Linked DNA regions of Yarrowia lipolytica. The protein of the gene in region 1 interacts with the protein of each later gene in a pairwise test. Links are inferred from orthologs where the notes say so. Each region holds a gene or a part of one and is shown on either strand. Other genes may lie near its edges. The genes, in order: YALI1_D28221g and YALI1_F33791g.

Evidence for each region.
Region 2: the proteins of YALI1_D28221g (region 1) and YALI1_F33791g interact in a two-hybrid assay, tested with the Schizosaccharomyces pombe proteins (2 studies listed by BioGRID). The link is inferred for Yarrowia lipolytica from reciprocal best matches to the Schizosaccharomyces pombe genes orc2 and swd3.

Annotation. Positions count from the first base shown.
Region 1 is NC_090773.1:2,820,402-2,824,390, forward strand, and holds YALI1_D28221g (uncharacterized protein), read left to right. Parts: upstream 1-1,684; coding exon 1,685-3,214; downstream 3,215-3,989. Other genes in the region: YALI1_D28213g (uncharacterized protein), read right to left, coding at 577-870, 1,326-1,364; YALI1_D28242g (uncharacterized protein), read left to right, coding at 3,753-3,874, 3,922-3,989.
Region 2 is NC_090775.1:3,377,387-3,381,008, forward strand, and holds YALI1_F33791g (uncharacterized protein), read left to right. Parts: upstream 1-1,775; coding exon 1,776-2,879; downstream 2,880-3,622. Other genes in the region: YALI1_F33764g (uncharacterized protein), read left to right, coding at 1-339; YALI1_F33790g (uncharacterized protein), read right to left, coding at 490-1,638; YALI1_F33812g (uncharacterized protein), read right to left, coding at 3,091-3,622. UniProt on the Schizosaccharomyces pombe protein: The Set1 complex specifically methylates 'Lys-4' of histone H3.

The DNA.
Region 1 (3,989 bases):
CCGATCAGCGACCACGAATATGTGATTGATATGGAGGCACAGCTAATGTTCCCTGTTTGTTACTGTGAAGAAGCCAGCTTTCTTGAGGTTTTGGACGGCAAACTGGGCATGGGTATTCTGGGGGCTTGACCAGAGCGTGAGCAAGGCGTTCTGAAATGACTCCAAGTCATTTGACAGAGAAATGATGATGGAGCGAACCACTGGAGCGAACCACTTGGGCAAAATGAGCGTTTAGCTCTCCCGATACGATACTGAACTTGGGTAGATCTGGCAACATCCCTACAGTATGTACAGTACGGCCAGTAACATCCGAGTGAACCTCTGTTAACGAATGAATCTCAAACGACTTCTCCTCTGCTGAAGACTTGGAGACTCTCAGGGACACAGGACAAGAAGTGAAGTGTTTGTTACCGAGCCCGGAGTTTGTTTATAATCGCAGGCTGGGCTTTCCCTTCTGTTGACACCTCCATCGATCGGTTCCAGGTCTTCAGTCACTCTCTACACTCAGACAATCAATCATAAATATATTACATGCATTCTATCCTTCCCATAACGTGTTTGGCACGTCTAAGCTCACTAGTTTTCTCTCCACTGGTGGAAACAGGCCGTACATCTGCAAAACTTGGTCATGGGCTCATCCGCAGACCGAATCTGCAACATGTAGAAGTAAGCACCCATGTTGGAACACTTGGGACACTGCGAGCCAGGGTCCTTGTCGACGTTCTCCCAGGCGTTCTCTCCACCGAGAACACTGTCCACCTTCTTCTTTTCCAGGACCTTTCGGTCATACACGATGGTGCCGTCCTGCAAGTAGTACTCGTAGGGACATGTCCGGCACTCGAACCGCATGCCGTTTCCGCTGGTCGACAGCTGAGTTAGTATATGGAGTGTCAATGGTGATTCAGCATGCTTAAGTGGAGTGTGTAACGGGATCAGCAACGAGATCAGTCACGAGATGGGGACATGGTAGATGCGGTGAAGGAGAAAAGCGGACGGTAGATGCGCACACAAATACTTTTAGACAAATCTCAACCTAGATCGAACTCGGCAACCTCTTCTCTCGGGTGTGGTCGATGACTAGCCACTTCATTGATCTGCAAAAAACCGTAAGAGAAGAGTAGAATTGCACATAACTAGTGATAAAGAAGTTTCAAATGATTTCTGACACCTCACCCTCTCTCGCCTCTCGCCCCTCGCCTTTCGCCTTTCGCCTTTCGCTTCTCGTCTCGTCTCATCTCGCCTTCATCCACGCGACCTATGATCTGGTCGTTCCTGGCCCAATCCTGACTCAGCAACCGCCCTCAATATCCCCCCGTCCTACTCACCGTCAACATGTTTGTACAAGTGGGACAAAACGTTAGCATCCTGTGTTTGTGTCGTCTGTGCTGGTGTGAAAAACCAAATAAAAAAGTCTGAAATTCAAAATATAAAAATGGTGGTGGGCGTTTCTCATGCACCTCTGAGTTTTGATCAGTGATTGTCACCACCATTACAATACAATACGGCGCACTAGAGCGACGAGACGGCGACACTTATCCAGCACCGGGGTTCGAGTTCACCAAGAGATTGTTTATCGGTTCCTTTTTAATCTGACCGTTAGAGCATCACCACTGGACGACATACATACCGCAGAGGCGACAAACCCCAGACGGCGCCCGCACCGACTAGTTGTACCATTCATCACATGAGCAGAAGAAAAGCACCAGTTTCGTATTCCGGACTGGACACCAGTGACGTCAGCGATGAGGACTTTGAGGTTGAAGACGAGGTGAGCACACCCAAGAGAAGAAAGACCACGAGTCCGAGAAAACAGACGCCGAGAAGGACGGCGTCGCCTCGAAAGGCACCGGGAACGCCGTCACCGGTGAAACGGTCGCTCCACGACAAATCGGCGCGAAAAAAGGCCAACAGAACACTACTGGATCAGTCTCTGGGACTGGTGAGCGAAGACGAAGATGAAATTGAGCTGGCTGAACGGATCATTGGAGAGAGCCGGGCTCCGATTCTCGACTCGTCCAACGACTTCCACACCGACGAACGGTCGCTGGCCAACGTGGGTGCCCTGATTGCGGCTGAAGACCGCGTTCTGTTCCTGGACTCTTCAGAGGGATACTTTGACCAACACAAGACCCGAGGACGAGGTAACGCCAACACCATGGCCAAGGCGCCTGCCATCGACCACTCCGTCTTCTTTAAGTACACAAACCAGGCCAATGAGCTGTTTCATGCCGACCAGAAGAAGATGCTGCGGCATGCTTACCGCGGAATGTTCTCGCAATGGATTTTCGAGCTTTCGGAAGGGTTTTCGTTGCTGTTTTATGGTCTGGGAAGCAAGAGGGAGTTACTGACTGACTTTGTGTGCGAAAAAGTGGACTCGGAAATCCCCATTCTTGTCATCAACGGATACAATGCGTCTGTCCAGTTCAAGTCGGTGCTCAACAGCGTGGTGGACGTTCTCTACGAGAATCATGAGGACATCTTTGCGAAAAAGGGCTTTGTGGTACGAAACAAACTGCCCAAGGATGTGGATCTCTTGGTGAAACTGGTGGTTGACACTATGCGAGATATTGAAGCTGGTTCAAAGCCGTCGTTGGTGGTCTTGTGTCACAATGTTGATGGCGAGTCGTTGCGGATCGACAAGGCGTCTACTCATCTGTCTCAGCTCATGAGTATTTCTCAAATCTGGTTTGTTGCATCTGTCGATCATATTATGGCTCCTTTGATGTGGGACTCTGCCAAGCTGGCCTCGTACAATTTTGTGTGGCATGATGTGACCACGTTTGCTCCCTACACGGTTGAAACGTCGTTTGACGATCCGCTTTTGCTTGGTAAGAAGGCTGAGGCCCAGGGTGCCAAGGGTGTCAAGTATGTACTTGAGTCGGTCACTCCGAACCATCGAAGTCTCTACAAGAACCTCATTTACTGTCAGCTGGAGGAGTTTCACAATGTGGCTGACAAGAGAAAGCTGCCTGAGGCCGAGGTGGGTGCTCTGACAGGAAGTACGTCCATTTCTGTGGATTATGACAAGGTGTTGACGGAGTGTCTTAACGAGTTGACGGTTTCTAACAAGAAGGATTTCCAGGAGAAACTCAAGGAGTTTATGGACCATAAGATGGTGGTTGCATTTGACGACAAGATGGGCATGAAAAAGCTGTACATTCCCTTTTCGAAGGATGTTGTGCAGCAAATTCTGGAGGGATACCTTGACGCCTAGTGAGGTGAGGTTCACACAAGGCTCAAGTGGGTGTAGGTCATGGCTGCAGATCATGTGGTCATAGAGCGTTCCACTCTGTATATAACAAAGATGTAATACGCAATTGATTTTCATGTCTGCAAGGGAATACTCCGACTAACATTCCCCGAGTTCATGTCAGTGGCTCGGAAGATGGCGTCGCTGCAGCAGTCTTGGAGGCTTGTTTCCGGTTACGTTGCACTGTTTTCATATCCTCACGGCCTCTTCGAATCCCACTCGTCGTGTTTCCATTCTCCGCAATGGCTCCGGAGGAAGGCTGGGGAGTTCGTACTTGTAGGTCTGAGCTACGGATACCAGTTCCAGTTCGACAACATTGTCGAGCATGAGTGGTTGATTCTGTTTGTGTCGACTTTCTGGGAAAGTGCTGCCACTTCGGAGCCTGGTTTGCCCACCAGTTTGAGGACGTGCTCATCTCCCGCCCACAATCTGCCCAGACCCCCGATCGAAGCCTCTAGGCAATCAGTTGTGTGGCCAGTCGCTTCAATGTCAGCTCAACCGGATGTGTAGGAACTTCTCTCTAGTAGCCCTCTTAAGTGATAAGCAGCATCCTCAGACTCCACAGACACAAGTACTCGCCAACAGCAACCGGACTGCCCGAATACAAGCCTGGTTGTGGCTGTAGTTGACGGACTCTGCGGAGTCTCGCAGTAGCAATAGACCGGTACAAGTCAGCAGCAAGAAGAGGTCCACTCTGGGAGCTTGCGTGTGCACAAGCGTCCATGTGTGACAGCTGGAG
Region 2 (3,622 bases), on another chromosome or scaffold:
GAGGGAACTCTCGGTATCTCGGAGCTCATCTACCATGCCGTGCTCAAGACCGACCCCAAAGCCGAGGTCCAGATGGAGCTACTTAACAACATTGTCGTTGTTGGAGGAACTACTCTGCTCAACGGTCTGACTGCCCGAATCCACCGGGACATGGCCCAGTTCTTCACCCAGTTCCATGTCAAGCAGCCCTACCTCTCGGTGACCTCCACCGAGCGAAAGTCGCTGGCATGGACCGGTGCCTCTGTTTTCGCTTCTCTCGGCAACTTTGGTTCTTCCTGGGTCATCAAGCAGGAGTATGAGGAACAGGGCGCCGATGTCATTGACAAGCGTTTCAAGTAGAGTAGCTGTAGCTAACGTGTATTATAATGGTATTGGATGTTTTGAATCATGCAGTATGTACTGTATCTACCAGTACGTATCTAGTTACTCGTAGTCTAATGTGTATAAAAAATCTTTGTTATATGTACATCACCTGTAGTTTTTCTTCGTCTACTCCTCGTCAAAGTCAGCCTCCTCAACAGCCAGCTCAACATCATCAAAATCACCCTCATCATCGTCGTCATCTTCCTCATCTTCCTCCTCCTCATCCTCGGCACGCTGCTTGGCTTCGTATTGCTTGTAGTATGCGGCCAGAGCGTCCTCTTCCTCCTCCTCGAGCTTGGGCTCCATATCCTCGGCCTTGACCTTGGGAGCCACTTCCTCCTTTTTAACACCCTCCTTTGTATCCTTCTTCTGGGGATAGTCATCGTCGTTACCAATCTCTGTGAATCCATGTTGCTCCTGGTCGGTATCCCCCATTACCATCTGTCGACCAACAGTAGACTCCATGTACCATGCGGGAAGGGCGTTCTGTTCGGCCAGCTTAGCCTTCTCATCTCGCTGGGCAGCCTCGTCCTCTGCACCCGTGGAAAGGTTGACGGTGAGAGTGGAGCTTTTGTTGGAGCCCGTCTGGGACGAAGTAGTGCCTCTGCCAGCAGTCTTGATAGAAGAGGTGCTTCCTGCAGTGACCTCCAGCTGTGCGGGAACCGCCTTGGCAAGCGACGTCTCAAAGGTGTTTTCGGCCACCTGGATGTCGTCTATCTTTCGTAGCTCGTCTATAATGGGCTTGATTTGCTGCATGAGCTTTTCCAGTCGGTCCTGGTGCACTCTGGATTCGTCACTGGTGGTATCTTCGACAATCACGGTAGAACAGACATCACAGGTGAAAGTGCCGTCCATTTGCACGTTGGTGACGGCCTCGAGGGTAGTGAACTTTTTGGTACACAGCGGACACACGTATCCCTGTGGCTGGGATTTCTTTCCAAGCGCCTCCTCTGCCTGCTTGTTCATGGAGTGCACCTTCCACTTGATGGCATCGATAGTCACAGTGTAGTGGATGTAGTAGTACGTCTTTTGGTAATTTTTGTTGTAGCCGTATGTGTTTTCCTGCTGCTCGCGCTGGGTGTGATCCTTGAGCAGCTTGTCGTCCTTGAGCTTTGCGCAAATCTGTCGAATCTCCTTGGCCGGAATGCTCAGCAGCTGGTGCAGTTCCTCGTCTGAAAGCACCACATGCTTGAGCAGCGCGTCCATCACCAGGATGGACTTTGTGTCGTAAAAGCCTCGTGTAACGTACTGGAGGAGCCGCTTGATGTTGTCCATGCTGTGTTAATTTGTGGTGTTGGTTTTTTCTTGTGCCCGTCCCCGAAGCTGCTGTTGTATGCTACAGTACTGCCTGTTTTATCCCGATCAAAGTTAGTCAAACCGACTGAGAGTGCGTTCTTCCTGCATACTCCAACATGACGACGGATTTCGGCGGTGGCACAAAAAAAGTGAGAACCGAGCAGGAGGAGGACCTGGCGTCGGAGTTTCCTACGAAGCTCACGATAGACGCTCACTCCGCACCCTGCACGACGGCAAAAATCAGCCCAAACGGCAAACAGATTGCAACATGTTCTGCAGACGCGTCTATAAAGCTGTGGGACGCTGCTACTGGAGACCTGATACAGACGCTGAGAGGTCATCGAGCGGGAATCAATGACATCAGCTGGTCGCCTGACTCGAAGATGCTCGCCACAGCTTCCGACGATCGAACGATCCGAATTTGGTCCACACACCGACCTTCCAGTCAGCGTATCCTAGTGGGACACACCCACTATGTGACATGCGTCAAGTTCAATTATAAGGGCAACCTAGTGGTGTCCGGATCAGCCGATGAGAATGTCCGAGTGTGGGACGTGCTTCAGGGTCGGTGCATCATGACCCTGGCGGCCCACTCACAACCCATCTCGGCGGTCGACTTCTCATGCGAAGGAACCATGATTGTCAGTGGATCACATGACGGTCTTATCCGAATGTGGGACACTGCCACTGGCCAATGTTTGAAAACAATTGTCGGTGAAGAATCTTCACCCATCATGTTTGCCCGCTTCACTCCAAACTCCAAGTTCATCCTTGTCTCTAATATGGACTCCACTGCAAGGTTGTGGGACTACATGAACAATAAGGTGGTCAAGACATACAAGGGCCACGAGAATGGCAAGTACTGCTGTCCCACTGGCTTTGTGTATCGTCAGGATCGAGCCGTCCTTTTGCATGCCTCTGAGGACGGTCGCGTCTACGTGTACGATATACAGGATCGAACTGTGCGGGGCTCGTTTGACGCTCATCCGGGAGTTATTATTTCACTGGATGTTATTGATAACAAAATCGTTACCTGTTCATTAGATGGCTCAGTGAAGCTGTTTGAGCTGGTGGAAGAGAACAGCCCAAGTGACGACATGGATACTGATACCGAGGAGAATGGCTGCCGAACCAATAGCAGTGAGGAGCGGGACAACAGCAGAGAAAAGGAGGACGGCAATGGAGATGGTCATGGAGATGTTAGCATGAACAACGACTAGCACTGAATATGGTGCTTAAAACAACACGAAAGGTGCTGTCTACTACAAGCACACAGCATCTACGAATAAGTAATATAGAATAACAGCATAATGACTAAACGTACAGTAGCTACAGTAGGAGTACAGTGGCCACTCGAACGCACCTACATACCCCAGTTCAAACATGAACCGTTTAATTTATTTATATAATGCACTACCTAGTACAAACCACCTACGCCTGGAAAGCAACGTTGTCGACGTTTCCAGCCATGAGAGAAACAATGTTCTCCTCCAGTCTATCAGTAACAGCATCCTCAAGATGCTTCTTGGGGTCCTGCTTTCCGACATATCGAGTCTTGAGCTGGTCCTCGGTCATCTCCTGCTCCTCCTGCACTCGGTTGGTGTACTCAATGGCCAGTTTGACCATCTTCTGTGCAGCGTTGGCGTTGTTGCACTCCTGGGTCTCGTAGTTCTGGATCTCCAGACCAGAGGTCCAACTGCTCTTGTGCAGGTTCTGCAGCATCTTCTCATCCAGGGGAGTTTTCTTGTAGTTGATGTTAATGGAGTAGTAGTGTCGGTTCAGGCCGTGGATCAGGGCGTGGATTGTGGGCTTGTTAAGATGACCCACGTTGGAGGTCGACAATCGAGGCTCCTGGCCCAAAAGCACCGAGTTTGTGTTAATCAGTCGGAAGGCGTCAATTACAACCTTACCCTTGACCGACTGAATGGGATCCACCACCACTGCCACTGCTCGCTTGTTGAGC